Lepisosteus oculatus: one gene and its partners. Each later gene encodes a partner of the first gene's protein in a complex. Links are inferred from orthologs where the notes say so. Each region holds a gene or a part of one and is shown in the gene's direction. Other genes may lie near its edges.

Region 1 (8,376 bases):
TCCACTCTGTAACTGGATTTGTGCAAAAGATGTTCAGTTGCTTTTCTTATGTTATTTCCATGGTTTATCACAGTAAAACAGAGCTTCCCTAGACCCTTTAAGTGTTACCTTTCCAATTATAATGCTTTTTGTAGTAACTGAACAATAAATAAAACATAAGTTAATGTTTAATCTATTTAGTCCTGCCTTTGCTCCTCCTACTACTAATGTTTAAACAACTAATCAAGCCCTCAGGATTTTTTTCATGCCATGTAAGCAAATGTTGACGTGAAATCACAATGACTCAAACATTACATTAATAAAGAGAGCATAATCTTAACATCCACCCATTTTATATTTATCCAATATAGGATGACGGGGTAGCTGGAGCTTATCCTAGCAAACCATGGGCACAAAGCAGGATAATCCCCAGACGGGACACAGGTCTATCGCGGGGCACACACAGACACAGGCACAGGCACACCAGGGCCAATATTCCCAGAAGCCAATTAACTTACCAGCGTGTCTTTAGACTGTGGGGAAAACTGGAGTATTCAGTGAAAACCCATTCAAACACCAAGAGAACATACAAACTCCACACAGATAACTCAGGAATTGAGCCCAGGGCCCCAGTTTCTGCGAGGTTGTAATGCTAACTATTGTGCCACTGTGTCACCCCCCACATTAGCAAATATATATCTATCTTTATAGCCAGCATCTATATCACCCTGCAACTCACAGCTAGCAATCTACTAAAGCTCAGCAGGTGTGAGCCTGGTCAGTACCTGGATAAGAGACCTGCTGGGAAAACAAAGGTGGCTGCTGGAAGAGGTGGTAGTGGGACCAACAGGGGGCGCTCATCTGTGTGGGACCTAATGCCCCAGTATAGTGACAGGAACACTATATTGTAAAAAGGCGCCATCCTATGAATAAAATGTAAAACCCAGGACTCTCTGTGGAATTTCCCACAAATTCCAGGGTACTTCTCAAAAAGAGTAGGGATGTTACCCCAGTGTCCTGGTCAAATTTCCCATTGGCCTTTAGCAATCATGGCCTCCTAATAATCCCCATCTATGAATTGGCTTCATCACTCTGTTCTCCTCCCTAATGATAGCTGATCATTGTGATCATTGTGAGTGTGGTGAGCATACTGGTGCACGATGGCTGCTGTCGCATCATCCAGGTAGGGCTACATATCGGTCGTGGTCCAGAAAAGCACTATATGAGGGTAAGAAATTATTATTAAATTATTTTTAAAACAAAAGAGATGGAGAGGCAGGTAACAGGGGTTGTTTCCAATAATAGCCTAACAATTAAGATGCCCTAATCAGAATTCACCCAAACCATCAGCTTTTATGACATTCATTATCTTCTTTTAAATCATGTTTGACTTAAGCCACATGAATAGAGTGGTGAACATGTGGAAGATATAATCAGTGAATATTTACAGCAGCGAGACAAGAACGACATTGGCAGCTGTGTGCTGATCTGAGCCTTAACTGAGGCTGCTGCCTGTAAGATAATGGAGCTGGGCTTGAGGAACAGCTCATTAGTGTTTGGAGGAAGATCCACAGCTACAGTGACTGTTTCATCAATGAAGCACATCGGTTCTTAGGTACAGACTGTAATAGCACTGGAGCTGTTGCTGATCCAACTTGGCAAAGGCTGAGAGTTTCCATTTTTCAAGGCTTTTATTTTTTGTTGCAAGAAGATAACCACTTCACTTTTCAGGTTTTTTTTCCACAGATAGTTTGCCCTGTGTTACAGAATCTTGTAAGCGGTAATCTTTTTCAACAACAAATTTATAACGGCAGTCTCAGTGGACTCAGTGGAATCTTATGAAGTTATCTGTGGACAATGTTATTGTTTTCAAGGTTTGAAAAATGTGCCCTAGTTGGATTGATCTTGTGTCAATACAATAGGAAACAATGGGTGTGAAGAATTAATGGCCCATCGTTTCGGCAGCCACAACTACAGAGGGAGATAACAGGAAAGAAAATCCATCAATCCAGCAGCCATATCACCCTGCAACTCACAACTGGCAACCCACTGAAGCTAAGCAGGTGTGAGCCTGGTCAGTACCTGGATGGGAGACCTCCTGGGAAAAACTAAGGTTGCTGCTGGAAGAGGTGTTAGTGGGGCCAGCAGGGGGCGCTCACCCTGTGGTCCATGTGGGTCCTAATGCCCCAGTATAGTGACAGGGACACTATACTGTAAACAGGCGCCGTCCTTTGGATGAGATGTAAAACTGAGGTCCTGACTCTCTGTGGTCATTAAAAATCCCAGGGTGCTTCTCGAAAAGAGTAGGGTCTCCTGGACAAATTTCCCATTGGCCCTTACCAATCATGGCCTCCTAATAATCCCCCTCTATGAATTGGCTACATTACCCTGCTCTCCTCCCCACTGATAGCTGATGTGTGGTGAGTGTTCTGGCGCACTATGGTTGCCGTTGCATCATCCAGGTGGGGCTGCACATTGGTGGTGGTGGAGGGGAGTCCCCATTACCTGTAAAGCACCTTGAGTGGAGTGTCCAGAAAAGTGCTATATAAGTGTAAGCAATTATTATCTGCGTGGAGTCTGTATGCTCTCCCCATGTCTGCATGTGTTTTTTCCAGGTGCTCTGGTTTCCTCCCACTGTCCAAAGACATACTATTAGGAAAATTGGCTTCTGGGAAAACTGACTCTGGCATACGTTTGTGCATGTCTGTGTTTTTTGTTTGTGTGTGCCATGTGATGGACTGGTGTCCCGTCCAGGGCGTGCCCTGTCTTGTGCCCTGTCTTGCCAGGAGAGGCTCCAGCTCCCCCACGACCCTGAACTGGATGAAGTGGTTAGAAAATGGGTGGATGGACGGATGAGATGAGATTACGCTGTGAAGCTCTGAGTTAAAATCCTGTTTAAAACAGATGTGCTGATTACTGCCTAGCAATAATTGTGCTTCGGCTAAACCTCATAGGCTACAATACTGCCGTTAACCTCACCAGTAAAGAAACACTGAGCTTCTTGTATTGGCATAAAGTCACACTGAGAGGCATTAAAAACACATCAAGTATTATGAACAAATCCATTTGTTGCATTTTATATGCCTCTGGATATATAAAGTTTCATACAAAATATTTGTACCTTTTGTTTTAACTTGCTAAAAATCTTGCTACCACTTGGTAGAGTACATGAATGAGAAATACATTTAGATGATAATATTTTTAGTATAGTTTAACAAATATATTGATTAAACATAATAGGGTATTGAATAACATTATTGGAAATGGTGTGTGTACAAATGTTAGCCAGCAATTGTATCACTTAATTTTCCATCACACACTCTGGCTATTAAAAATGCATAAGATCCGTTCAAAAGCCATTTTAGCAATTAAAATTGTCATCCAAGTAGGATGATTTTGAACAAGTAAAAGCACATAAATGCAGTTCACGGTTCCCCCTGCTGGTGGTTTGTAGACTTGTTCCCTAAGTAAGACGCAGTCAGCTGTATGATTTGTACATTTTAACTTAAAACATAAGCACATTTATGTCAATACTTTAGAGTAATTATACTGCTTACAAATAATAATAACATTGGAAGTGTTTAAGTAACCCACTGATTTCACCTCTGATCCTTAAACGCTATGTCTTTCATTCCAAATGAACAGAGCCCATAACGACTTAACTGAGTTCACAGATCTGTATTACTACTGCTATCAGGTTTTCAACAATGGAGGCTTGCTCACCCATTTAAACCTGGCTTGTAGTACCCATTATCTGCTGGGCTGTTACTCTCATAGACCACGCATTACTGCCAGTGCACAAGTCCTTCAAAACCTTTGCAAAGACACTGACCTGGGAATATTGCTATTGCTGAGCTGCAAACTTTTGAGAACAGAAGAATATTTCAAACAATTAACAGGAACAGTAAGCATGAAGAATGTTATGAAATTTAACATTCAGATCAAATGAAAGCTGCTTAAAAACTATAGGCCTACCATTCATAATGCCATGCAATACACCATGAATATCAGCAAGGGTTATTCTCAGACGAGGGACAGAAGCCCCTGGGAGATTACAAATAATAAACATTACATTTATTATTTTGATCCTTTCGAAAATCAGGTTGCACTCGTGAAAACACAAGAAAAGTAGGTTGCATAAACTTACTGGCGCAGGAACATATTACTTACATTTAAATGTGTTTCTAATACATTTTTGTGGTTTATACAGTTTACCTTCTAACAACAGGAAATGGTGTGCCCGATTTAAAAATCCCTTTAAACACCACATAGCCCTAAATTACTCCAGATAACGACTGATTTTTTTTTCTTTAAGAGATGTCTTATATTAGTTACATATATTTCAGGAAGACACATAATACACAAATACACATTTTCATGCTACAACTTAATCGATGTAACGATACACATAGAAGACAGAAAGTATATAAAGTATTCGGGTTGATAGACAAAATATTAAAATGCAGGAACGCCCAGCATTTCTCGAACTCTTTCAGTTTATGTTAAAAAAAAAACACTTTGTACTTTGGGTGATAAACTGTTTAGCACGCTTGGTTAAAACTACCACAAATACAGTACACGACACGTAACTGAAAATAAGAAAAAAAACGTACTTTGTTAGACGTTACCATAGCCACGACTCACTAGGGTATGATGTACCAGGTGTTCCGAAAGTGAGAAACTGGAACAGTGTCCTCGCCATTATGGATTCTATTCTACATAGAGTGACACATAATGCAGCTACCACTACTGGAACCGTAATGGCTGCCATTTCCAAAAAATAAAAGAACCTTTGTAAAGCAAATATATGACGGTAGCAGAAAAATAAAAGCTTATCTTCAACGAAGACATTGCTGTTTTCTTATGAAAAAATAAAATGTCTTAACTTTATGTAAAAATACATTATGTTATTTAAGAATTAACATCAGCTTGGACGGGGCAAAGACCCAAGTCATGTGGGCGGGTGCTTTTAACACATTTTGTGCCAATAAAATAAGCTTAATTTTGAGAAAACGATTCCTGTTTAAAACAACGTTGTTTTTAGACAGGGTATAATAGTGCCAAAAATTAAACCGCTTTACAGTTTCTCAATATAAATGCAGCGTGCTACGACTGAAGCCGAGTCCCATAAAGCAACACAAAGACCCGTATTGAGTGGCATTACTTTTAGCCAATAACATTCTCCCAACCGACACAGTTCCACCAGTAATAACGCGAAGGCGGGGTCTATCATGTGTTGTTCCAAAATGGCGTATGCGGGCTTTTTGCTGAAGGGACAGTGAGGGGTGGAAAATAACTTGAATATTTGGCAATAATATAATAAGAAAAGTAACTGAGAGTGGCTGCCCGTGATAACGTGTTTAGTGATTTGCTTTTTTCGAGTGAGTAAAAGCCGGCCTGAGGGAACAATAGTTAAAAGATGAAGGGCAAGGAGAGATCACCGGTGAAGAAGCGCTCTCGGGCCTTGGACGACATCCGAGACAGAGGAGGAAGCCACCCCACCAGCAAGAAAATGGGGACCCTCTCAGCGGCCGGAGGCAGCAACAATGGCAACAGTTCCGTCAAAAGCGAAGGGGGCTCTGCTAGGAGGAGTCTGCTGGCCGAGAAAAGAGAAAGTCGGGACTTCGACGGACACGTTTCCAGCCGGGCCGGGGGCAATCACAGCTATGCCAACGCCGCCGCTAGCTCCAGCAGCAAAAACCACAACAACCTGACTCTCGACCCGGCCGCCACCAGGACCAATTCCCGCGGGGAGCAGCGGCCTCCGCTCACCAGTACCGAAAGTGAGTACAAGACTCTAAAAATAAGCGAACTGGGTTCGCAGCTGAGCGACGAGGAAATAGAGGACGGGCTGTTTCACGAGTTTAAAAAATTCGGGGACGTGAGCGTTAAAATCAGTCGGATTAACGACGAAAGGGTGGCGTTTGTCAACTTCAGGCGGCCCGAGGATGCCAGGGCAGCCAAGCACGCCCGGGGAAGGCTGGTCCTCTACGACCGCCCTTTGAAGATCGAAGCTGTGTACATTAACCGGAGAAGAAGTCGCTCTCCCATTGAAAAGGAGGCTTATGCAGCAGTGGCAGGGCACAGACATTTGCATGCCCAGAGACCTCTGTCCCCCACTGGGCTTTGCTACAGAGACTACAGGCTGCAGCAGCTAGCCCTGGGTCGCCTACCCCCTCCCCCGCCCCCACCTTTACCCAGAGATCTGGAAAGGGAAAGAGAGTATGCCTTCTATGAAGCACGGGCACGCCCAGCTTACAACATCGCAGAACGTGCCGCCGCTTTCCGTGAGGAAGAGCTGATTTCGCCAGAAGATGACCAAAGAGCCAACAGGACTTTGTTCTTGGGGAACCTGGATATTGGCGTCACAGAGAGCGATCTGCGCAGGGCGTTTGACAGGTTCGGGGTGATCACCGAGGTGGACATTAAACGGCCCTCCCGTGGCCAGACCAGCACGTACGGTTTTCTCAAGTTTGAGAACCTGGACATGGCTCACCGGGCAAAACTGAGTATGTCGGGTAAAGTGATCTGCCGAAACCCCATTAAAATTGGCTACGGTAAGGCCACTCCCACCACGCGCTTGTGGGTGGGCGGACTCGGACCCTGGGTTCCTTTGGCTGCCCTGGCCAGGGAGTTTGATCGTTTTGGTACCATTCGGACTATTGACTACAGAAAGGGGGACTCGTGGGCCTACATCCAGTACGAGAGCTTGGACGCAGCACAGGCAGCTTGCACCCACATGCGCGGTTTCCCGCTGGGGGGACCGGAACGGAGGCTGAGGGTGGATTTTGCCGACACGGAGCACCGCTACCAGCAGCAGTACCTACAGCCCTTGCCCCTGCCTCACTACGACATTGTGGCGGAGTCGTTTGTGCACCGCGCTGCCCCGGAGTCGCTGCGGGTTAGGGAGAGGACTCCTCCGCCCTTGCACTTCAGAGAAAGAGAACTCTACCCGGCCACCGATTGGGCTGCTCCTCCAGTCCGGGACAGAGTGAGGGCGGCTTTCGATCCCCTGGACCATCTGGACCGGGAGCGCAGGCCGAGGGAGGCCTGGTCCCTGGAGCGAGAGAGAGAGCTGCAGAACCGTGACCAAACGCGCAAGCGGCGGCTGCTGGAGGACAGCCGCCACCTGGACCGCTCTCCTGACAGCAGCGAGCGCGCCCGAAGGCGTCACTGTCCCTCCCTTGAGCGCAGCCCAGGGGGGAGCAGTGGCAGAGACGGGGGGCGATACAGCGATTCGGAGCGGCCCCTGCGCTCCGAGAGGCCCTCCCCAGCACGGGACAGGCATGCCAGCCTGGAGAGGGCTGCTGGGGAGAAGCGGGGAGGAGAGAGGTTAAAAACTGTCAGTGCGGGGGAAGCGGCTGCAGGCGGAGTCGGGGGTGGGGCAGGATCTGGTGTGGAAAAAGAGCGCAAACGCAAGATCAGCGAGACCAGCAAGAGCCCAGCCAAGAAGGAGGAGCGCTTCGAGATGAGCTCTTCCAAGGGCAGCCAGGGGCTGAAGCAGGAGGCAGGCCAGAAGCTGTGCCTGGCCTGGCAGGGTATGTTGTTGCTGAAAAACAGCAACTTCCCCTCTAACATGCATCTCTTGGAAGGTGACCTCAACGTGGCAACCAGCCTGTTGATCGACGGCTCTACAGGTGGCAAAGTGGCCCAGCTGAAAATCACCCAGCGTCTGCGTCTGGACCAACCGAAGCTTGATGAGGTTACCCGACGTATCAAGGTGGCAGGCCCCAGCGGCTACTCTGTCCTCCTGGCGGTACCAGGGAACTCCGAGGGCGGGTCGTCTTCATCTGAGCCAGCATCGTCCACCCAGAGGCCGCTGAGGAACCTGGTCTCTTACTTAAAGCAAAAACAGGCCGCAGGAGTTATCAGTCTCCCCGTAGGTGGCAGCAGAGACAAGGACAACGCTGGAGTCCTTCATGCTTTCCCTCCCTGTGATTTCTCTCAACAGTTCTTGGATTCCTCTGCTAAAGCTCTTGCCAAAACAGAAGAGGACTACCTGGTGATGATCATTGTTCGTGGGGCATCATAAAAAAGAGAAAAAAAAATCTTGTAATCTATCCACAGCACTGCATGCGCTCTGTTCTGCATTATGGGATACAGCAATCTCTAAATCTGGGGGCTGCGGGCCCTCAGATGTTTTGCCAAAAAGAAAAACACCTTCCTTTTAGAAAAAAAAATATTGATCCACAGGTTTTGGGGGTCCAAATAGCTAAAAACAAAAAGCTCTGAAAACTTCAAATTCATTGTCATGCATGGAAAATTGTTGTTGTCTGTCTGTTTATGCTGTACCCAATCAGATGTTAGTCTTTCGGGTTCACTGGATTAAGGAAGGTAATGGCAATGTGACACAGTGCTCAGAAAAAATTAACAGCAAATCCTTACAAAATTAAAATC
Region 2 (7,536 bases), on another chromosome or scaffold:
AAAAACTTCTCCGCTGACTGCTCCTGACTTGCACTGCCAACAATTCATTTTCTTCCTCCAGCCACTGCCACAAAATCGCTGAGTAGCGCCCCCGACTCCAACTAGCTGTAAATTCACATCTCAAGAACACATCCTTACAATTGTGATATTTGCTTTGCCTTCCTTTGTTTGGTAGAGTATACAGACGTGTTCTGTTCTAACAAGCAACCCAAACTTTACAGAATGTGGGTATTTTAATAACTCCTTTGTATGAATCGACCTCAAAAGAGCAGGCTATTTGTCTAAAACGTGGTTATTTAGACTACATTTTTATATACTGTACAATATATCTTACCACGTTAGAATAAAATATAATGTCTTTTAAATTCACTGGACAGACCTGAATGAAATATCTTGCTTGATGATACAAAAAACTGAGGCTCAGTCAGAATTTTACACTCCAGTCTATAATTCAGAGCCCTAACCTCTACCAAACGCTAATACAGAGCACATAATTTTAGGAAGTACTTTAAAAATACATTTTTTTAAGCCAGAGGCTTCAAGTACTTTAGTTTATGCCAATAGATTCTAAAACATACACAATGCTAAGCAATTTCTATTTGTTTTTTTTTAATTAACCTATTTAATGTATATATCTGCAAAATTAATTTCAAAAGCCTAGGAAAGCATATTATTATATAATATTAAAGAATCATACAGTTGTAATTTATTGCAGTACTTCTACTAATAGTAATCATTTCATTTTCTAACAGTTTACTCCTGTTGAAGATCATGGTGTTGACAGGTGGAGCAGGGCAGACCAGACTTCCCTTTCCCCAGCAACAGTCTCCAACTCCTCCCAGAGGATTCCCATGTGCTCCCAGGCCAGCCGACAGATATAAACCCACCAGTGTGACTTAGGTCTGCCCTAGGGTATCTTCCCAGTGGGCCGTGCCTGGTACACCTCCAGCAGGAGGTGCCCAGGGGAATCCTCACCACATGCCAGCAGCCATATCACTCTGCAACTCACTGGCAACCCACTGAAGCTAAGCAGGTGTGAACCTGGCCAGTGCCTGGATGGGAGACCTCCTGGGATAAACTAAGGTTCCACCCCATCACCCAGAGAGAGCAAGTGACTTGTTGATTGGGATGCTGTTTCTCCCAGTCATGCCGCTCCAGGTTTTTCCATCATTCCCCAGATGAATGTTGAAATCTCCCAGCAGGACAATGGAGTCAGAAAGTGGTGCCCACGGTACATAAGCACGGCAGTCAGAGTTTTCCTCTCTGCAATATGCAGTACAGTATTTGTTCTCATCCATCATGACAAATTCCAACTGCACGGCACCCAGCCAGGGACTTGTGAGTATCTCCACACCCACTCAGACTGTCACGGGAGCTGAATCTAACTCCCGAGGAGTGTGTTGTAAAAGACCCTATGCGTGACGGTATATTCCGGAAGTGTCTGGAGGCGTCAGGGAAGGCACAGCGAGGTAAGGTCAGGATGACAGACAGGGGGCCGTGACTGAGGTGATCTGGCGCATGGGGGGAGCGCAGGCAAACAAGTCCAAAGGAAGTCTAAAGGGGTAGTAAGGCGCAGTCCAAAATCCAGAAACCAGGAGATCCATCGGAGACCCAGATGATTAAAAACAGGAACAGGGAATTGGGACCAGGAACACAAAAGGTTAAAAGCATAATGGGGCATGGGACTCAGAGGAAAGGACGGCATGATGAAGCCTTTGCCCTCGGGCCACTCCTGAGCCCAGTGGTAGGTGGGCTTCCAGGTGTCAGTCTTTCAAAGCTGAGCCTGGAACTACAGAAACACTGGGCTTAAAGAAGGGAGAGGCAATGAAACACAGCTAACACTAATAAAACTAAGAACATTACAAGAATGGTAGGAGCGCCCTCTAGAGGAGGGATGATGACCGTGACACAGACCAGACATGCGAGGGACAAAGACCACCCCTGATTGAGAATTGTGGTTCCAGAACCAATACTGTATATAGAGGTAAGACCGACTATATCTAGTCTGTACTTTTCAACCTCCCATACCAGCTATGGCTCCTTCCCCAGTGAAGTGATGTTCCACAACCCAAGAGCCAGTTTCCAGTGCCAAGGTCTAGTCCATCATCCAGATCTTTCCCACTCCATCTCATTACCCGACCCCCATCCTTCACTTTGGGAGTGGCAATCCCACATGGCAGCTCCATGTAACCATTTTGAGTTGAGCCTGGCTGAGTTGTGTGGGTGATCCAGACACCAGGTGTTTGCCGGCAACATCACCTGGCCTGGCTCCAAGGGTGAGTCCTGGCGTCCATGGTCTGTGCAGGGTTTTCTCAGTTCGTAATGGAAAAACATCCCAGTCTAGCGTGCAAGGTTCTTTGTCTGGCCTCTCATCTAAGACCAAGTTGCCAAGGGTAGCCCTACCAGAAGCACAATCCACCTGACAACATACAGTACAGTAGTTCAGTAGCAGGGAGTAAACTCCCTGTGGCATTCAAACTCCTCCACCACAGCAAGGTCATGATTGCAGGAGATGAAGAAAGGTATGACATATATAGTAAGTGGAGAAAAATTGCTCTTTACACACCTCACTGTTTCAGTTTCAGTGTAAGAAATTCCAATCCTGTTCTAAAACATTTTATACTGTTTTATCCTGTAGGAAGTACATTAGGACATACTTCTATGTATGTTAGGACATGTTTCTAGTGTCATTTAAAGAACACACTTTAAGAAGAGCATAGATTTCTTTGTTGTTATGAAAACGTTCAAACAAAATATACAGATGCAGATCACTTGTCATACCTGTACTGAAATAAAATTTATTATAGTTGATAAGAACGGTTAAAATAAAAATGTTATGATTTTTATGTGGTTGATTAAGTCAGAAAAAAATAAGCATTACAATTGAATAAAGTTCTAAAAATTGTATTTCTATGTAGCGATTACACCTTCACCCAAAATCATGTGATTTACTCCTAAGAAGGCACATAAACTATTAAATAAAGGTGGTTTATTGTTAATAAACATTTTCAAGACTATTGTTATTTATGCAATCAAGACCTTGAATACTTTATTCCTATAACATGTTAATAATAACATGACCTTCTGCTTGTCATTAGTAATCATTATAACATTATAGGCATTCATAAGGCAGATTTACACTATTACTACAATCATTTTTAAAATAAAGTGCCCTGACAGTATTGTTTTTGCTGTAACACATTTTGAAAATGCACAATATTATCAATGTTTACGTCAGTCTTATTTGTCAGTCTTGTTAAAATGAGTAATAATTGTAACAATACTCATAATCACAAACCACAAATTATAAACCACGTTTGTTACATGACAAAAGCTTCCATTTCATGATTTAAGCTTTCTATACCGCCTATTCAGCTCTTAAGCAAATGTACTGTATGCCATCTTTGCTGAAGTATTCAGCAGACATCCATAATACTGTTTAAAGTTCAAACAGTGACCAAATTATTTTAGATTATGTGCATCGTGTGCTATGAATTCTACTTCTTGTTGCTGCCGACAGCTGTGTTGCCATTAACAGTTGCCCCGGGTTCATTTAAGCTTAACGTTGTTAAGCTAAAGGTTGGTTTTGTATTTATTACCTTTTTGTTTTGTACTTTTTTACTTTGCTGTGTTTAACAAAGATAAATTGTGTTAACCACACAATTATCAGAATATGTGATTTTCCTTTGTATATCAACTTTGTTAAATTTCTAATCCTCCTAGACTTTGGATTTTTGCGAACCACCCTCCTCTGCAGGGCTGAATAAAGAACTGTTTCTCCAGAACCCCGAATCGTCAGTGAAGTTCTTCCATGTTCATAAATCATACTTTTGTAATTTCTTCTTCCGTTTTGCATCTGTTGTATATTGCTGCATACAGCTGAAGACGTACGGCAATCTACTGTCTACATGCCAGTTTGCGCTGCAATGAGATTTAAACTCTTGTACACGCAACAGAACAATATACACTGATAAAAGGGGGATAAAAAAAGTAATATTGAAATGAAAGAACCACTATTATTTTTTCGACGACGTACCCTTACATGGATAATTTGTAAGTGCATTATGTTTTGACCAAAACCTATGAATGTTATACAAATACCTACAATCTCCTATATTGTTAAAATCTATTAGTTTTTTAAAAAGTTTTTAGTTCTTTTTTTTAAATAACTGGCCAATATTTGCATCTCTATCCTTTTTGAGTGGTAAGTGAAATGACCGAATAGCCAAGAAACATCATTTTAAATCACCGTTTTCTGTTACCCGGAAATGACGCAAAATATCCGCGACTCGTGCTGCTTCTGAAAGAAACGCAGGAGGGAAGAATTGGAATTGGAACTAAATGAGGATTCAGGCATTCTTTGAGAACTTTTGCTTCGGTATCGATAAAAAATGAACAGCCGTTTACAAGAAATAAGGGAAAGACAGAAGCTTAGAAGACAGCTTTTAGCACAGCAGGTAAGGAAGAACATTTGCTGTTTGTTCACGTTACGAAAACAAAAGATAGCATAGCTCCCACTCAAATTGTGTTCCAGAATTATGTGATTTGGATTATTTTTGTAGGGGATTAGTTAACAATTTTTATTTGTCAGTAGTTTAAGATCGTAATAAGGTGTTAACCGTAGAGAAGTTAGATTCACAAGAGAGCGAGTTGAGATAAATTACATCAAATTCAATATTGCTAAAAAACACAAATTCGCGGGTGTATACAGATCTCTAAAGCATTACGGCATTGCCCTTGGGAGTTGGATAAATATTTACCGTTCCAGTTCTGTTTTAATGATGAATTATATAATGAATAAATAGATAATGAATAAAATCGATACAAGCTTGTGGGGGCATAATTGCACCTAATTCCAATGTAAATTGACGTTAATAAATGCTGAAATTTTTTGAGTGGAGATTACATGTTATCATATTTTTGCTTGCTTTATTTATCTTGTTTATAAAATTAAACATTTTAAATGGTTTAACTAATGAACAGTAAAAACGTACTGTAGTTTTACGTCATTTAACTTAAATGATTTGTTGATCACGTGAGAAGTGCTGTTCTTTTTTGCAACAAAAAACTTTTAAAAAATCACGTGGTGGCTTAAAAGTATCGGGTGCTCCGAGTTTGATATTGGAGTCGAGTTAAAATTGCAAACAAAAATTGATTACGAATCTGCGCCAACCGCCGTTCAAAAATACAAATATAATTAATGTCAGAATATGAAATATCTGACCATGGCCTGCTTGAGAAATGAAGACAGCATGTTTGCTATTGGTGTGATTGGAGGTGACCTATCAGTAAAAGAAGTTGCCTGGAGAATGAGATGTTCTATTTCAACAATCGGCTCACTAGTCCAGAGAAAAGGGGAACCAAAATGCAGGCCTGGGGGGTGGATTTTCACTATGTCGGCCAGGACAGTCACATCAATCTGATCTATCTCCATAATTGTTAATAAACTGTATTGAGAAGCAGCAACGGACATTCCAGGAAGATATCACAGTAGAATAACTAGCTCACAAATTGCATGAAAATGATCCCCATACTCCATTCAAGTCACTGAGAGTAACAGCGATGGCTGAGACACAGAATTGCTGTCTTCTGTGGGCCGGAGCACATTTGTGGAGGCAACCGAGAGAGTGATGGACAGTTTTAATCGTGGATGAAACCATTTTTCCCCTTCAGAGACCTGCCAGAAGACATGCGAGAGGATGTCATTGCTAACATTGCATTTTTCAATCTGGGGGGTAGTAGAAGTGAAATTTCCTTCAATGAAAAAATGTCTTGGATGCAGATTAATGCAGACCAATATATTAACAAGGTCCTTGATACGACAGGTTTTCTGTAAATAAGAGCCAATCCAGGTGTCAAGTTTACCATCAGTACAATGAAAGACTATCCAGGGCTAGGATTACTGTGGCAAGACTTCAAGAAAACAATGTCCAAGATCTTGCCAAGGACAGCTTCTTCTCCTGACCTTTGTGTAATTGAACATGTGTGGGGGCAAATTGCTAATGCCATGGACAGGAGACAAACACAAACCCTCCAGCATTTCCTAGCTGGCGGTTGGTGCATAGAAAAGGGAAGAACACCATACATCACTGTATCCCAAAACTGGTCAAGTATTGTCAGGATTGTGGTAATGTTAATGGAGCTCATGCCCAATACAATTTAATTCATAACGTTCTTATTTTAAAAGTACATTACATATAGTGAAATCATGATTTTGTTCATGTCGTCTGATTTAACGTAATATTTGTCTAAAAAAAGATTAAATATAAAAAAAGTTGCCATTGTCACTCACATTCACCACCAGCTATGCAACAATGCACAAGATGTAAGATTTTTTCTAATGGAAAATCACTGAGTTGAAAACACTTTACTTGTGTGAGGGGAGTTTTTTCCTTTGCATCTCAACAACTTGTGGCAACTTGTAACGGGGGGCCTATATTTGTTATCCTAGAGCACTTTTTTTTTCATAATTGGAATTTTGGAAGATTGAAAGATTCCATGATATCAATTTGCTGAATCCAAAAGAACACAGTCGAACAAATTCTGCTAAGGTAATATACTGTATTTATACCGTTCTTCACAGCTAGGAGCTGAGAGTGCAGATAGCATTGGTGCAGTGTTGAACAGTAAGGAGGAACAGAAAGAAATTGAAGAAACCAGAGAGACATGCAGGTAAGAAAGAAACACTTTCATGGTTGTGTACAAAAATTGCTACAAATATTTGCCAGGCTAGAAATATGTTTGACAAAAACATATTTGGTTACATTTGGATAAATAGTTTAATAAGCACCCAAAGGTACTTTGTTAGGTTTATTATTGTACCGTTATTTGGGAACATAACATCTAACATGATTGTCCAAAAACTATACTATTTTGTTTATTGAACATGTTCTTAATATTGGCAGGAGCATATGATGATCCAATTCGGTATCGTCCTACATAATTATTATTCTATCTTTTTGTTCTTAAATATTAGAATAAGCCTCACAAGTTTGGATTTTTGTATTTCCTAATGTTTTAATCAATAGTATATTTATTGATAGCCGAGCATTTCTTTAGTCTGACATTTAACCCGTTTAATTGAAAAACATTCTTTCTTCCTCCATGATGTCAGATTATCGAATTTAACATCTACTGATTCACACGGATGCTGAGTTTTATTCAAGTTGTTTTATTTAACTTTGTTGTTGTAAACTGAACTCTGACTCTCATATATATATACTCTATATATGTCTTTATTTCTGTATGCAGTGACCTGTTCCTTTTCCTGATTCTTTGATATTCTGAATGTTAAGACAGTCTTTCTGCCAAGACTAGCGTAATCATTGTTTCAATGCCTTCCTTTACTGTCCCTGAGTCTAGTTTACAAAGATCTAGGACTCTAGAATATTTTCTCTGATGAATTTTTCTCCTGCCAAGGGCTTCTTATGACACTTCTTCACCTTCTACTAAACGCAAGTGTCAGAATGAGGGAGAAGACCCTGAGGAGGCTGTTGAAGAGCAAAAGGTAACATTGACAGTCTTTTTCTTTTGGTT
Region 3 (7,698 bases), on another chromosome or scaffold:
CTGGAGACGTGAAAGTTGCATTCCTGTTCTCGTTTTTTAATGGTTTAAATGCATTTCCATATTTCCACTTTAAGTTTCCAGTTGTGTCTTCTGGTTCGTATTTCATGGTTCATTCTGAAGAAGCCTAGTGTGTCACTTCGTCATTGAGGATTTTTGAATACCTCTATCAGGTCTCCTTGGAGTCTTCCCTGTTCTGCCTTGAGGCTCCTGGCTTCCGTGCCCTAAAGTTGGATAAACGGTTATTGAAAGTGATGATGATGAAACGCGGTGACCAAAATTTTACACGATATTCAAAATGAATCCCTGGTACGAGTGGTTTGCACATTGTTATGTACACTTTGCTGATGTTATTAGTATCTATATGCTAATAACATTAACTGTAAATTTACTTAAACCCTTAACTTGCTTTTACCAAGTATACATATTTTAAAAATATAACTTAAACAGCCTTAAATTTTGAACGTACATTTGAAATGAACATTTATCAGGTTCAGGTATTGCAATGTATTTTTTACATGTTACACAGCAAAGACATCAAGACAGAAAATATCAAAATTCTTTGTAACTATATTTGCACCATGTCAGCACTAGATGGCACTGTCAAACTTTTTTGTGTATGTGGAGATAAACTGCAGAGGGTCTGAAATTCTTAAAATTTGTAGGAACAACCTTATTATTATTATTATTATTATTATTATTATTATTATTTGACACAATATACCATTTTAGGAGTTTACAGTCAAGTAATCTAATTTAATAAATGCAGAGGAACAACAGGTTTATTCCATGCTGAAAAGAGAAGAAAGAAAATACAAAGTTTCGGCTGTGGAGCCTCACACCCAAAGAATGTTTCTCTTTTCAGCATGGAAAAAACCTATAACTTGTTCCTTTGCAGCCTACGGATGCTGACGCAGCTACCCACCTGTACTAATTTAATAAATGTTTCTACTGTATATGTCAGATTGAAATCTAGTGAATAGCCAAACAAAGAAATTAAACCTTCATATCCAACAGAACAGGTAATGTATAATGTATATATTGTAAAAATGACCATTGTGGAACCTTCTGACATTCTGCTAGTGGCGAAGATCCTGGTGTCTCTTTGCCTTGGGCTGTAAGTATGAACTATTTACTTCACTTACAGATGTGCAGCAAATGAGCAAATGTAATCAAATTTAAGTTCAGTCTGGCTCCCAGAGCCGGAATCCAGAGGTTTACTGTGATGATCCTCCTCTTGGCCGCAGCTGGAGGCTTCCGTGATCAATACTGCTGGCCCCCTTGTGAGTCCCTAGACTCAATCATGAGACTTGTGATGCCCCCATGCCCTGGTTTTACCCACCCACGGGTGATTGACAAAACAGGGGAAAATTGGGACAGTATTGCAAAACCCATACTTGTCAATATCACTGTGTGAGGCAGGGACTTCAACAGAACCAGCTGAACCACATCTATACTAGGATTGTTTACAGGAAAGCAATGTTAATTTTAAAGAATGTCTCACATTCAAAAGCTATAGAAAATATTTTTAAGGAGTCATTCATGTTGTGTGCCGTTACTCTTTTAAATTCTGATTCCTTCCACAACATTGCATTGACAGCACATGTACTGTACGGTCACACTTAAATCTTATGTTTCACACTTGAGTTTTATGGTTTTGTATTATGTTGTATTGTATGGTTTTGTTATTTATATTGCATTGATTGTATGAATCATGTGACATATGTTACATACAGTTAAAGTGGTTCAGGTTGGTAGCTGCGTCAGCATGCGTGCAAAGGAAGAAGTAATAGGTTTATTCCATGGTGAAAATGGAAGAGAGAAAACACCTCTTCTTTCTCTTGTCTCTCTCACCTCTTCTCTCCACCTGTTTTCTCTCTTCTTAGCATGGAATAAACCTATTACTTGTTCCTTTACATACAGTTACAGTTTTGTTTACTTGGTTTTAATTGTTGTCTCAGTGAATCCAAAAGAAAATTTCCAATGTATGTGGACAATAAAGGACATTCTGATTCTGCTATCTGGAAGACAGCACTGGGAAAATCAGGATGGTTTGTAGCCTTAAATATAAGACTTGAATGTTTGTTGTTGAGTTAGGGCAGAGAATACAGTACTGTACTTGACTTTACTGAGTAAACTGACTTTAAGGTCACACAGAACAGTGTCTCTCTAAGGGCTGATGCCTTTCTCTCCCTGTTCTTTGAGCTTCCACCCATTGGTCAAAGGTCCGTCTTGCGTACACGCTCGTTAATTACAGCACAGTTCAGAGGTGGCATGTAACTGGGCCCCAGACCGAGAGGGAGCAGGGCTCCAGAAGAGGGTAAGCATAGACAATGTATTGTTACAATACATTACAATACAACAATAGACAATGTATCTGCATACAGCCAGTTCTTCAATGAGGCCCTGCGCAGTTAGCTCTGTCCACACGCAACACATAAATGGGACATTTACAGTACATGCCCCATCCCAGCCCTCCCAAGAACGAGTCCTGAGTCCTGGCTAGGCAGTCAGGAGAACTCAGGCAGTGTTTGAGAGGGAAGACTTGAGGGGAACACAGTTTGCATTGTTTGACCCAGGAGAGGACTCATACACTAGAGACTCTACAGAGAGCAGCAGAGGAAGACCCCGGCATCATCGTCCTCCCCCCTAACAACTGGACTTAGCTAGACTCAGCATGAGGGACCACATTGTTTGGGTTGGCCGGGACTGAAGAGGATGCCTAAGACAACACATAATGTCTTTGCTGTGGCAGAAGGAGGCACACCAGGTCACTGACCCAAAACAGCATTACTAGACTTTTGCTTTGGGACTTTGGGTTTTGGAAACTGGGGTCCATGGGGCTCATATGGTTTGCTGGCATGTGGGTAATTTTTGTCATGGACTCTGTGTGATCGGTAGACTACAATAAAATGGCATATTATGAAGAATGACTGTCTTGTCTGGTCTGTGGGTGCACTGGAGGTACTGGGAGATAAGAAGAACCTCTGGTGGGGAAAAAGGGGCCTAGCACTCTTGTAATTGCTCGGTGGAGTAGTTGGCTATAAAAGCTAAAATTATTCTGTATTTTGGGATCACCACCTGTGACAGCTAACCCCTAATAAAATCACAGTAGGACTGTAAATGAGTCATACACGTAATCACCACATTCCATCATGAACACCTGCAAATAGACATACCTGTCAAGTGATAGAAGCTGTCTGCATGGAATACAGAAATATACATGAATTTGGAGTTGACGGAACAGGGTGTCAAAAGATTAAACTACACATTTAATTCCAAATGAAAACATAAATAGCAATTTATAGATATAACAACAACACTAATGATACACTGTGAAGCATTAAACAGTGCACGAGTATTGAAACAACAGTATTTGTTGCACTTTTTAAAGCCTCTGTGTACAAACTTTATACAGTGCCTTTAAGCACAATTATCCATCTATATATCCATCTTATAACCGCTTTATCGACTACAGGGCTCGGGGGGCAGGAACCTGTTCCTAGCAAGCCGCAGGAGCATGATGGGATATCCCCGAGCAGGATGCCACACAGCGCAAACACACTGTCACAAACTCAGACATGCACACACCCACGCCAGGGCCAGCTTTCCCACAAGCCAATAAACCTGGCAGCATTTTCGACTGTGGGAGGAAGCCACAGAACCCACACAAAGAGGGGGATATCATGTAAACTCCATGGAGATTGCACCCCAGCAATGCTAGCCACTGCGCCACCGTGCCGACAGAATATATCTATGCATTATGTGTTTTTCCTCTAAGTCTTCATAGTCGTACTATTATTATCATAAATGTTGAAATCCATATTCATCACTGGGGATTTCAGACAGCGAGCTATGTACTGAACTTTGTTGATGTGTGCGATATTACAGGATGTGGATTCTCTGAATAATAACATATTTCTATGACAACTGGAAGAGACTTGCGCCTCCCTCCGTCTGGAGCGCTGATCCTCCGGCCCACTGCGCTCTGCGCGCGTCCACCTTATGATGCTTTGCGGCGGAAGCTCCTCCTCCTCTCACTCATGGCGGCGGCGAGAGATTTGGGCAAATAGCATCGGTGTTTGGAGAAACGAGACAAAAAAAAGATTTCCCGATTTGTTTTTATTTTTAATTTCGCTTTTGTTAACGTTTTATAGCGTTTGTCCAAGAGGATTTCTAGCCAGCAGAAAGACGGGTCTGGTAAGTCTTCCCTCAGGGGTGTAACGGTGGTTATCAAGGGGAGGATTGTGAGTCTCGGCTGCGGGAGAGTCCGACACTCTTCCTTCAGCGCCATTTTGTGGCAGCGAGAAGCTGCAAACACAAGAAACCGGCAGGTAGCGAAAACACAACATAATGATTCCCGGATATTTATGCTAGTTTTGGCGAGCACGGTTACACGTACGTAAAGTGTCTTTTTACATGTTTGTACCTAAGTGTTTTTATACTTTGTATTTAAAAGTAACGAAAACAGCGTGATGTGTATACCAAAACCATGATGGTTCTGCTTTAGCAAGACAGGGGAGGGCGGATACCTCCACAGGATATTTTTTTATCTTGAATGAGAAAAGAAATGATAAAAATTAGAAAAACAGTGGAACCGAGCGCCTTGTCACCTTATATATACATACTCACAGGACTTGAGCTGTTAGGTTGGCTCTTTACTGAGCATTTACTTGGCAGTACTTGAAATAAATTAGGTGTCCCAAGAAGATGTTGATAGCTTTTTAACTGGTGTTTTTTTAATTGTTTTGATGGGGAAGGTGTTTACACAAGCTGAAAAATACTTTGAATTGGTTGTAGCTTTACTGGAAAATTCTGGAAACTTTCTAGTCCGAATATTTTGGATTTCGTTTTGCTAGCACTATCAGCCGAAGCGCAACTTCAGACGCCGTACACCTCTGTCTTACCATCTGAAATCAATGGTTGTAGCTGAGCCTATGTGATGGAGTCAATGATTGAGGCTATCGTTAAAGTTAGTTTGCTGCGGAAAGATGTAATTTGTAAGAGATAATGTCGATCTAATATATGTGGATTGTAAAATTGTTGACAAGTTTTTGTCCCTCCCCCCCCCCCCCCCCCCCACACTATTTTAAGAAGTCGCATAATGTTGACCTGTCTTTTGTGGCCGCCTGTTTCTTTTTGGTTAACTCACCATAACAGTGTGAAATCCACGTCAAAGTCTACTCTTCATTTATCTGTGATTAATTGAGTGTCGATCTTCTTGCACACCCCAAAAAAAAAGTTTCCTACATTTTGTTGAGACTTTCCATTGTTTTGTTTTCTCTTTCCCCTACAGAGTTCAGAATGACTAATGAAGAACCTCTGCCAAAGAAGGTCAGTATAGGAAATGTTATACAGGTCATTCAACATAGTGATCTTAAATGTTGAGATTTCAACTAAACATCTTCTTGCTTGATTAGGTTCGCCTTAGTGAATCTGACTTGAAGACCCTGACCAGAGAGGAACTTTGTGTAAGGTAAATATCTGTATTGCAGGGAGGGAACTGGGGCGTTGCGTCTTAATTTGGCCTTGTGCAATTCATGTTATTTTTTCTGTTCAGGTGGAAGCAGCATGAAGCATATGTCCAACTTCTGGAAGCAAAATATGCAGAACTGAACTGTAAGTTCATGTTTTCATGTTAATAAAAATTGTATTTGGAAAATGAATAGATAAATTGTGAAGGCTACTTAATTTCACCACGTATACATAGCATCTGCTGCTTAATTGGTTCTTACAAGACCTGTTGTTAAGCAGTCTATTCAGAAACCTTTATATACTGTCTCTCAAGATTTTAATACCTGCATTTGTGCAGTGCTTTTCAACCAGTTTAAGTGCAGCCTCCTCCTGGATTGATGTGAGAAAACAATTGTTGGGTGCCTAACTTCCCAGCAAATGCAAGTCCGAAGTGGATTTTTGCCAGAATGTGGGTTAGCCCCCCTATTCTTTCGAACAGTATATTGAACCTTTGAATATGTGATCAGGATGTTAGTTTAATGTTTAAGACCACCTCCTATAGTACAGTGTCCTTATTCACAATAGAAGGGTATTGGTTTGGAAATTGTGTTCCAGAGGGAAGTGACACATTTATCCTCAAATTGACACAAATGTCACTTAATGGCAGCAACATGGTTTTCTTTAGAGTTTTTCCCATCTTGGCCCCGAACAAGGGTCAAGTATGCTTAGCTTCAGAAATCTGGGGTGATCAATTTACAGGATGGTAAAGCTGCTCTTGAATGCTCTGTTGCGTTTTTTGAAATGTTAAGTTTTTTTTCCTCTTTATTTGCCCAATTCTGGTTTAGCGAATGATGTGACTGGATTGAAGGAGTCTGAAGAGAAGCTGAAACAGCAGCAACAAGAATCTGCAAGAAGAGAAAACATTCTTGTCATGAGGCTTGCCACAAAAGAACAGGAAATGCAAGAGTGTACAGTAAGTAGCAAATACTGTTTTTAAGTTGTATTTGTTGAAGGGAAGTGTGCATCACAGTATTGGCCTGAAAGAAAATGCATATATAGATAATATAAGGTTTAATGTTTTTTATTGGAATTAGATACTTTCTACAATTATTTCATATTTGGCATGGAGTTTTTTTTTGCCAAAACATTTTAAATTTGTACCCATTGATTTGGCTAGGTATTAGATTGATATGAGTTAAGTACCTTGTTCAAGGGTACATCAGCAATGGGATTTGAATCCACAGCCTTTCACTCCTAACACTCCTCCACACTGCTGTACTGCTTCAGTTAACTTATTTTACAATTTTTTTAATCTAAACTTTAAGGGAGGGTATTTTACTGAAATTGAAGACTGTTGGCTCTAACTGCTCCAGTTTCAGTTGCACCCTTTAAACATTTGCATTGTGTGTTAATTAAGTATAGATACTTTATTGATCCTGTGAGGGAAACTGCAGTGCAACAGCAGCTTAACACAGGCAACACAGCCACAGTGTAACGAATGATACAATAATAATAATAATACAATACATACAATACAATCAGTACAGTGAGGTGTGCACTAAAAGAGTTACAGTCCAGGACACAAAGAACAAACTAGAACAGAACAGTACGCAGAAAAATTATATTCCACATATGATTATATAGATATAAATATAAATGTATTGCACGGGTCCCTGGCATATATTGCACAAAAAACAGTTGTAAATGGGAAAAGAAAAAGAACAGATGTAGCAGTAGATGTGTTCAGTCCAGAAACACACATCTACACATCCCAAGCGAATAGTGTTTTTATTTGTAACTTTATATATGTAAATGCCTCACACTATGCGGTTACAATTAATATACAGTGATCATGCTGGAAAAAATACATTTGTATTCATAAGGGGTTTACAAGAAGCTCAAAGCACTTAACATGCCTGGCGGTTGTAGATGGCAGACCCTTTGCTTTGCTATTGACATTTTTATTCTTAAACTTGTCGTTAAAGGCCAATGATGGTTGACTGAATTGCTTTCTAATGTTGTTCTGTATATGATTGTTCAACCTGAATATAAGAAAAGTCTTGTGTGTTTATAACCTCAGAAATCACAATTGGTTGAAGTCGTATTTAAGCAAGATACACAGCCTTGTGAAAGACAAGGTCTGTGCTGGGGATCCTTTTTATTTTTGATTTCCTGAAGTTTTTTTAATATAAAATTCTCATTTAAATGAGCATGTTTTGCATTGGAAATGTCATGAATAGTATTTGC
Region 4 (8,234 bases), on another chromosome or scaffold:
CAAGTAGTATCAAGTAGAGCACGTCTGGCTTTTAAAGCTCAACCAAAAAGAAACAACTGGTGGAGATCTCTTCATCCGTTAGTTACAAGTCAGCAAGACTGTGGAAGACATGCCAGACAGGCTTATTTTTTAATCTTCCCTTTAACATTGTTCAACAGTATATTGTTACAATTTGAAGGAAATTCTAAAAAATCATTAGCAAGGCATTGTGTCTTTGAAGACGGAGAACTTGAGCACAAAAAAGTAAGGAATACATTCATTTGGATTTTAAAAAAACTCTGTCCTCTACGTTCAAATTGCTATTCCATACTATTCATAACGTAAATGGAGACTTGGCCTGAAAAAAGAGAAAAACACAGAAAGCTAACTGTATCACACTTCCTTTGTGAGAGTCTTCTACATCGATCCGGTATAATGTCTGTTATCTTAAATGCATTTTCAGGTTTATTTAAGAACTTTGTTTCTTGATATTTTAAAAATACTTACACCAGTCCCATCCCCCACCCAGCTCAGGATGAAACTGGAGCCATCATCGTCAAGAAATTTAGTCTGAAAAAGAGAGCAGAATGAGGTCACCAAGTTGACTTTCTGAGATTAGAAAAATGTTACTGACATTACAAGTAAAATTAGAAATGTTAGAAAATACATGGATCTTAGAAAGTATTTTACTTGATTTTTTTTATAAATGTTATATTATTTAAATTCACATGGTCATTTGTTGCAACTTGACATGGTTAGCATCACATTTACCAAAAACAAAAACAAAAAATACTCTTACGGAAATGCAACTAAACAAAACAAAAATACCCACTTCCCCTTTTGTACAATTGGCAGGCCAGTGGCAATATGCCTATTAATCTTGAGACTGTGATCTCTTCTCCTTTAAAACAAAATGTCCCCTTTATACACAACTATATAATTTCTTTACCCAAAGGGTTGTGGGAGTATGTCACAAGCTACCCAGCCTTGTTGTTGAAGCCAATACCCTAGTTTGGCTACAAACTAGCAAACAGGTCTCGTTTGCAACCTTTCTTGTGTTCCAATATATTTGGGAATTCTTATTTTTAATACTACAGTAGCTGTACTTTCTCAGTATGATTATCCATGTGAGCACACATTTTACATAAGTGCTGCAACATGGTGTTAACTGAATTCATTGCAAATTTATTCTTATATCTAACTATAAGATAATGCCACACAACCAAAATGTAAATTTATTCAGCAAGCACATTCAGAATACATTCTGTCTCTTTGTTGGCAGAACGTTCCTACAGTATAACGCATTGCTTGTAGAAAGTTCAGTGTGGTTTATGCCAATATGAGAATACTGAGGACGACTAGGCAGTAGCCTAAGTAATTGAACTGAAATTTGGCGCCACAGACATCCCGGTTGTGAGGATTCGGACTTGGATTCGGACCTATTATACAGTAGCTGTACCTAATATAATCGCACAGCAGCACCACAGCTACTGTATAAGCTTACCTTTTACATACGAACAATGAAACACGTACTGTAGAATACCCCCTCAAAAAGTAGTGTATATTATTCTTTTGATAAATAATATGCACTACAATACCGTAACTCTAATATAAATCTACCAAACGCTCTGTATAGCCCTGCAATGAACCTACAAGTAGCGCCTCAGGTAAACCTAGCGCTGTTTTGATTTTCAGCACATAGTGTGCAACTGCTTTCGTTTTTTAAGACATTTGAACTTTGTAAAAATGTATGGTTAAACATTGATATCACAGCCTGGTGTGTGTACAGTACGTTTTCAACGCACGTGACACAAAAAAGCGTCCTTATTTGCAATTGCGGCTCAGTCAATGTAAATTACATAAAGATGCTAGCAAGTACACTTCAGGTACGTGATACATTATGAAATATAAAAACAACCCTTACCTCGTGAGTGTTTTGCTTTAGTTTCTTTAAATCTGCAGCTTCGAGGGATGAGAAACAGGGGGTGAAACCTTCAGTGCTAACATCCCTTTTAAACCTGGGGTTAATTTCACGGTTCGTTCGCGTCCTGGAAAACGTCTGTGTCCGACACGAATGCGGTGCGAATCCCGAGAATTCCGCGGATACACCTGCGAAAATGCAGCAGCAGAGAGTCAGGACCAAATGTCCCGAAGTCATCTTCTCTACACTTTTGAGAAAAGAAACCATGATCCAAAAGCCTGGTCCTGTTTTGGAGACGGTGCTTAAGCGACAGGTCACGAGTGTCTCGCTTGCACACAGTAGGTGGAGGCAATTTAACTGTCAAAACAGCTATTTTAAATATTCTCACTTACATGGCTCCTTCGAATTGGATGCTTTCGTTCTCGTAAGCGACGACACAACTAGAACATGCGGGTCCATGACGTTGAGGATTAAAGTGAGTTACAATAGGCTATATGTTAATATATTGTACTGTTAATCGAAACCGTGTCTGTCATTTTTTTTGTTGGATTCTTATTTAAATATTTAAAAAAATATATTTGATAAGTTGAATGTACGATACACATCTACATTTGGGAAAACAGAAGTTGGAAATAATTCAAGTACGGTGGGGTTGCAACATTCGGTGCTAAACACAGCCTGCAATCCTGAATAAAGTACAGTACTGTTTTCAGGTGGGAAGCAACACCTTTTGCGGGTAGCTATTGAAATATTACCCACAAGATGGCAGTATAGAACACTCTATTTTTTTGTCTTTTTTTTCTAGTCTGTTTTCAGGGGAGCTACTATCCAGGGAGCTATCCAGTGGAAATTCCGGTTGCATTCAGTTGAAATGTATAATAGATTTCTAACGGTCTGAACTAGTATTTATTGATTTGAGCTGGTTTAAACTGCTCAACAGTTAGCTTCTAACCTGTAATTTACCAGTCGTGTAAAATTGACGCTATTTTAACTCAGTAGAGACTGGTTCCCCGTTGACGCTTTGAACTGAAGTGGACAAGTACTGAATAACCGGATCTCTTACTGTATGTGACTTTATGCGAGTTTTGCTCATGACAGGGTAGGTTTTAAACCTTGTTTCAATGCAGTCTTTACTGAATTGAGCTGAATTACAAGGCCCTACAAAAGCACTCACCCCCTTTCAATGATGTCTCATTTTGTTAAATTACAAATGATGTGTACACATTTTTTCAAGTATTTTAATCAAAACTCGAAGGCTGAAACTGAACACGTTTGTAGGTATAAGAAGTTAAATGTCAGCAACAGCTGCAAAATAAAATGAAAAACTAAAATATGTTGGTTGAAAAAGTATTCACCCCCTAAACTATAGCCGCCAGAATTCCCTTCACTTGCATACTCTACTTTCTCTGCCCTGTGGGTGTGGGTCCAGGGATCGTAAGACCACAGTAAAAGTACAGCAATTGTTAACCCAAATTGAAACAAAAACCCTTAAAAAAATCGCTGATACATATAAACAGGGTTTTTTTTTAGATTAGAACTTTTTATTAAGTTTTTCAATTGTTCAAAAGCTTTATCATGTTGATCTGTGGTTATTTTCCTGAAAAGCCGCTATATGCTTACAATATATTCCGAGAAACTTCAAGAAACGAGTAGCTCAATAAGCAACATCAAGAAAACCAAATGGGCAGATAGCCTATGCACATTGTTATTATTCCTCATACTCTCACGCGTCTTAAACCTTCATCTATTATTTTATAAATATCTATAAAATGTATCTATTATTTTATATAACATCTATCATTTTATAAACATTTTTTAGAAAAGGACTAGGAAATTTCCCCTATTTGGAATACGATGTTGTATAATTTTACTATTTTTTTGGAACAAGTCACATTGCATAAACTTTTGGCAATAAATTATCTGAGATAGCCGTTAAGAAATATTCTGAAATATTTAGCAAATGTATTTGTTTACATATCACAGATATCTTACTGTGTATAAAATGTTTTATGTGCAGAGTAGTTTTTAAAAGGTATTTATGTTTTTTAAATTGTATTTGTGTTTTGTAACGTGTGTGGGTGTTAACTACGGAAAAATATTTGCTTTCACTGAATTTATTGGCAAGTTTTTACAATTTGTCATGAAGAGAAGGCTTAATTTACATATCAGAATATTCAGCTGTTACTGCGTTGAAAGATGCAGATAATTTTGTTGAACAATTTATGTGTATGAATTAATAGTGTGAGAGTCAAATCGTTTGTTCATAATTAATGGAATACAATTACGTATCAACACAATTCGGATGCACTTTTTCAAATCAGAAAAACAACGCTTAATCGGGTGTACAGTATGTCGGTTGTGGGCTACCGTAATGCTTTTTTTAATCTTCAAGATTCCTTTTTATTGATGCGTCGTATTTACTGTATATACGGATGTATATCTTATTAATTTCGTTTTAAGGGAAATATTAAAACAACTGACGGGGTATTATATGTTGGAAGCATGTCGTTGTACAAACTGTTCAACTGTTCAAACTGCGTTTTGTGTTGGATTACTTTCAGAACCATACCTTTTGGAAGGTATTATAAACTACGATTACAATATTTGTGATGAACTTGTCACAACTCTGCTTTCCACCTCCACTCAAAGTGGGAGAGTAATTACCAAGACGGCCGATAGGGTTTCTTAGCAGGTCGTGGGGATAGCAACTCGCACATTTCCAGTTCCTGTTCGCGTATAGATATCCCATTATAGAATAGCTTTAACCACGTTATAGTACTTGTATAGATTCCACATCACGCCCATCTACCCATTTCCTTTTGCCTTCGGATTAACTACTCCACTCTATGATAATGAAGACGACATTTTGCTACGTTCATAAATCTTACACCCCCCCCCCTATTTTCAACGTTAACAACCACAGTTGATACATAGACTAACAGCAATCCAGATGATTTTCTCTGCAATTATTACAACGTTGAGTACGTTTTTCTTAAAGGTTTAACAGACACCACCTCCCTACGTCGGACCGACTTAGTTTGTAAGACGCATGACGCCTTGCGCGCTCTTCCGTTGAAAGCCCCGCCCCTGAATCCCCTCACTTCCGCTCCCACCGTGCAGCGCTCCGAATCATGGACCAGAATGGTAAGGAGGGAATTCCTTTCTGTATGCAATTTAGCCGTATTCTGTCCTCTCTTAAATCAAATTGGATGCACAGACATTCACTGGGTTTACGCAGGACCAGGGTACGTTTCTGAGCCAGTTGCCTGACTGTGAAGTTGGAGAAGCCTCAATGCGGAGCCTTGCGGCCTTCTGCAGTTTTCTCGCAGCATCCATTGAATAAGAGAGGAAGGGGCTGTTTTGCTGAAGAAGTGTGCGCTACGGTGTGATTTGTTTTCTCCCCCCTTCATGATCTGTTAAAAAATAGAGATTTTCACACGGTGTTCGTGAACCTGAAACAGTGGTTCATTTACACTGGATGAAAGGGGTTACAAGTTTTGCAGAACAGGTAGCGGAGTTCTGCCCCGGTTGTCACCTGTTGTCTTCGGTAGTTTTTTTTCCCGTTTTCCCCACAGACTTAAAACGAGTACGTTTCAGAAAAGATTATACAAATGTTTGATTTCGGACTTTGCTGAAAAGGATATAAAGATCCGTAAGTCAGTCTTAGGTTTGTGTTGTTTTCCACATCGTCAAGAAGTTCATCGTCCATAGTCCCGTTTGTTTTGCAAGGATTTGGGAATCGGAGTGTCGATGAAAGACTGCACTCATGTGAAAATTTCACCTGTTCTTTTTGCCGTTAATTTGGCTTTAAGAAATAGTTCATAACAATCTTCGGGTGAACTTAGAATTCTCTGGTATTTGATGACCGGATTTCCCGTTTTAGTAATAATTTTCCCTTGTTTTGAAGATCATAATCTTTTCTGAAAGACGAAACTTTTTATCAGGTGATGTATGACATAAGCTTAATTTCACAGTATAAGACGTGAAGTACAGTTACATATGATTACAGTCTTTTAAATAATTCATTAGTATTTGTATAGTGTGCTTGTTCTAGGAACTATTTTTGACATTTTAAAGTACATTCAGCTGATACTGGTGGCACATTGTAGCATCTTCAGCGCTTGAGCCCTGGGCGCTACCCGTGTCGAGTTTGTATTATCTTGTTTTGGTGTTTCCTCGAAAGACGTGTTGGTGGGTTGATTGGCTTTTGTGAATTGTCCTTGGTGGGTATGTGCGTGCGTGCTCGTGTCTGTATGGATCTCCGTCCTGTCCAGCGTGTATCCTGCCTTGCAACCAATGCATCCCAAGATAGTCTTTCGGCCACGATGATCCTGTATTGGATAAGCGATTATTGAAAGTGATGTGGTGTAGCCGATGTGGAATTGAAAGAGATTCCTCAGATTAGGGTACCAAGTTTTCAGCATCATTCAAACGTGGAGTTGAGCTGTGTATGCCTACTCATTACGTTTTGTGAGCATAGCTGAGAACACCCTTTTTATTTTGAAGGACATTGTTAAATTCTCTTACCACGTACACTCTTTTAATAACTTTGTGTCACTTCGTCTTTCCCTTTCAGTAACAGTAAAGCCCGTGGCAGGCCAGAGCCTTGTGGATGGGAAGCCAGCCCATCACAGGGCTACAAATACACGCAATCATCGGATGCTTAAGGGCCGGAATTTATATATGCCACAGATTTATTGACAGCACAGAGTTCCCAGAGAAGGCTCGTGTGCCCACAGGGAGAAAGTGCAGTCTCCACACACAGGGTGCCCCCTCCTGAATTCAGACCCATGATGCTGGATCGCAGTGACTTCCATTGCAGAAATAAAAAGAAACCATATTGCCTTTGCTATCATTGCCTCTATGGACGAGTATAGAAGTCAAAACGGTAAACTTGCTGGATTCTTTTTGCTTTCAGACAATGACTTACAGGGCACGGATGGGCCAGGTAGCCTGGGGGGGCCTGACGTGCGCAGGCGGATTCCCATAAAGCTTCTCTCCAAACAAACCATCAGAAACAAGCCAGCAGTTAGGGCCCAAAGGGCCATGAACAGAATACCTTCCAAAACGCAGGCTGGCGATGATGGTAAGACTGCTCTTTTGTTTTTGTGAATTCGAAGGCTCGGTCTTGCATTCTGCTCCCTTTTTGTGGATGCTGTCAAGTATTATGTTAGGTTTTCTGTTTCGTCATAAATGTGTCGTGTATTAAAAATCATTTTATTGTGATGTTCCAATAAAACCACTCGCACAGTATTTTGTAGACGGACATTGTTTACATGGAAGAGATGCCAGTTCTGTTGTTGTTAGTGTTTCACACTGTCAGTAATGTCTGCAACGTCTGAAGTTTAGCTAGCCTCATCTGAGTTATTTTTTCAGTTTATGTGGTTAGCTAGAATGCATGAATATTCAGTAAACAGCAACATCTGTAAGTTGAAGTTTAGACATCATAATTATTGGTTAAATTGACCACAGACCAGTAACAAAGTTATTTTTAAAGTTTAACCCACATAATTAGAAAGTTTCATTTCTCCCCAATAAAAAAGGTGAAGCATAAAGAAATAATACTAATATGAAGTTTGTCAGTTTCAGATTTCAGTCTCTCATATATGGTGTTTTTAAAATGTCATACTTTTAAAATATAGTGCACATGTACCTCTTTTTATGAAAATTCGCTACTGTGAAGCATGAGAAATTAGTACGTTCATTTCGAATAATGAAAGCTGATTTTAAAACTACAAAAAGCCATAGGAAGAAAAATTTAAAAAACCCTGCAAAAAGTAGAGAGGAAGGCGTCATGCGACTCATTTCATATCAAGTATATGCATTGCCTTCCGCTAGCTAGAATGGGTGAGAGCCTGTACAGAGCCTACAGAGTGGCATGAGAGACGTGATACAGTTCACGGCATCTTGCTTCATGCGTTGTTCTCTATCGTGAGTGCTCTTACGTTTCGTGTAGGAAAATCTGTGATTTATGCTTTATCATGGACCATTAAGATGTTGAGAACATATATTACATTAAGATGTTGAGAACATTTATTACACAAAAGCAAATTAAGTGGGTACTGTACAGTACTGTACTTAGATATGATTAATGATGTCTAACTAGGGAACCAGTGTTTTTATTATTAAAAACACAGTATGATTGTTGGTTATTATTGTTTCTTTTGTCATTTTTTGGTGAAAAAGTAAAAGTAGGTGTGACATTTTTGGGGTCCAGAATAAATCATAATTTTTCCTGGTTAGAAATAATGAAAATAGGTTTTTCTTTTTATAAGTTTTCCTCTATACAAAAGGGGTTTGGGGATCGAATTACGTTCATAAAAATAGGTACAGC

The links.
Region 2: rbm15 (region 1) and mettl14 share a complex: the UniProt entries of both Homo sapiens proteins name them as parts of the WMM complex. The link is inferred for Lepisosteus oculatus from reciprocal best matches to the Homo sapiens genes RBM15 and METTL14.
Region 3: rbm15 (region 1) and wtap share a complex: the UniProt entries of both Homo sapiens proteins name them as parts of the WMM complex. The link is inferred for Lepisosteus oculatus from reciprocal best matches to the Homo sapiens genes RBM15 and WTAP.
Region 4: rbm15 (region 1) and cbll1 share a complex: the UniProt entries of both Homo sapiens proteins name them as parts of the WMM complex. The link is inferred for Lepisosteus oculatus from reciprocal best matches to the Homo sapiens genes RBM15 and CBLL1.

The regions. Positions count from the first base shown.
Region 1 is NC_090700.1:37,399,819-37,408,194, forward strand, and holds rbm15 (RNA-binding protein 15), read left to right. Parts: upstream 1-5,220; 5' UTR 5,221-5,398; coding exon 5,399-8,011; 3' UTR 8,012-8,280; downstream 8,281-8,376. UniProt on the Homo sapiens protein: RNA-binding protein that acts as a key regulator of N6-methyladenosine (m6A) methylation of RNAs, thereby regulating different processes, such as hematopoietic cell homeostasis, alternative splicing of mRNAs and X chromosome inactivation mediated by Xist RNA.
Region 2 is NC_090696.1:11,929,822-11,937,357, reverse strand, and holds the start of mettl14 (N6-adenosine-methyltransferase non-catalytic subunit), read left to right. Parts: upstream 1-4,267; 5' UTR 4,268-4,391; coding exon 4,392-4,457; intron 4,458-6,583; coding exon 6,584-6,672; intron 6,673-7,419; coding exon 7,420-7,507; intron 7,508-7,536. UniProt on the Homo sapiens protein: The METTL3-METTL14 heterodimer forms a N6-methyltransferase complex that methylates adenosine residues at the N(6) position of some mRNAs and regulates the circadian clock, differentiation of embryonic stem cells and cortical neurogenesis.
Region 3 is NC_090697.1:50,787,971-50,795,668, reverse strand, and holds the start of wtap (pre-mRNA-splicing regulator WTAP), read left to right. Parts: upstream 1-4,289; 5' UTR 4,290-4,367; coding exon 4,368-4,395; exon of another isoform or gene 4,396-4,418; intron 4,419-5,293; coding exon 5,294-5,331; intron 5,332-5,417; coding exon 5,418-5,473; intron 5,474-5,557; coding exon 5,558-5,616; intron 5,617-6,296; coding exon 6,297-6,424; intron 6,425-7,698. UniProt on the Homo sapiens protein: Associated component of the WMM complex, a complex that mediates N6-methyladenosine (m6A) methylation of RNAs, a modification that plays a role in the efficiency of mRNA splicing and RNA processing.
Region 4 is NC_090702.1:39,979,042-39,987,275, reverse strand, and holds the start of cbll1 (E3 ubiquitin-protein ligase Hakai), read left to right. Parts: upstream 1-4,913; 5' UTR 4,914-5,031; coding exon 5,032-5,044; intron 5,045-5,059; exon of another isoform or gene 5,060-5,145; intron 5,146-6,818; coding exon 6,819-6,986; intron 6,987-8,234. Other genes in the region: sortilin, read right to left, coding at 487-549, 1,904-2,167. UniProt on the Homo sapiens protein: E3 ubiquitin-protein ligase that mediates ubiquitination of several tyrosine-phosphorylated Src substrates, including CDH1, CTTN and DOK1. Targets CDH1 for endocytosis and degradation.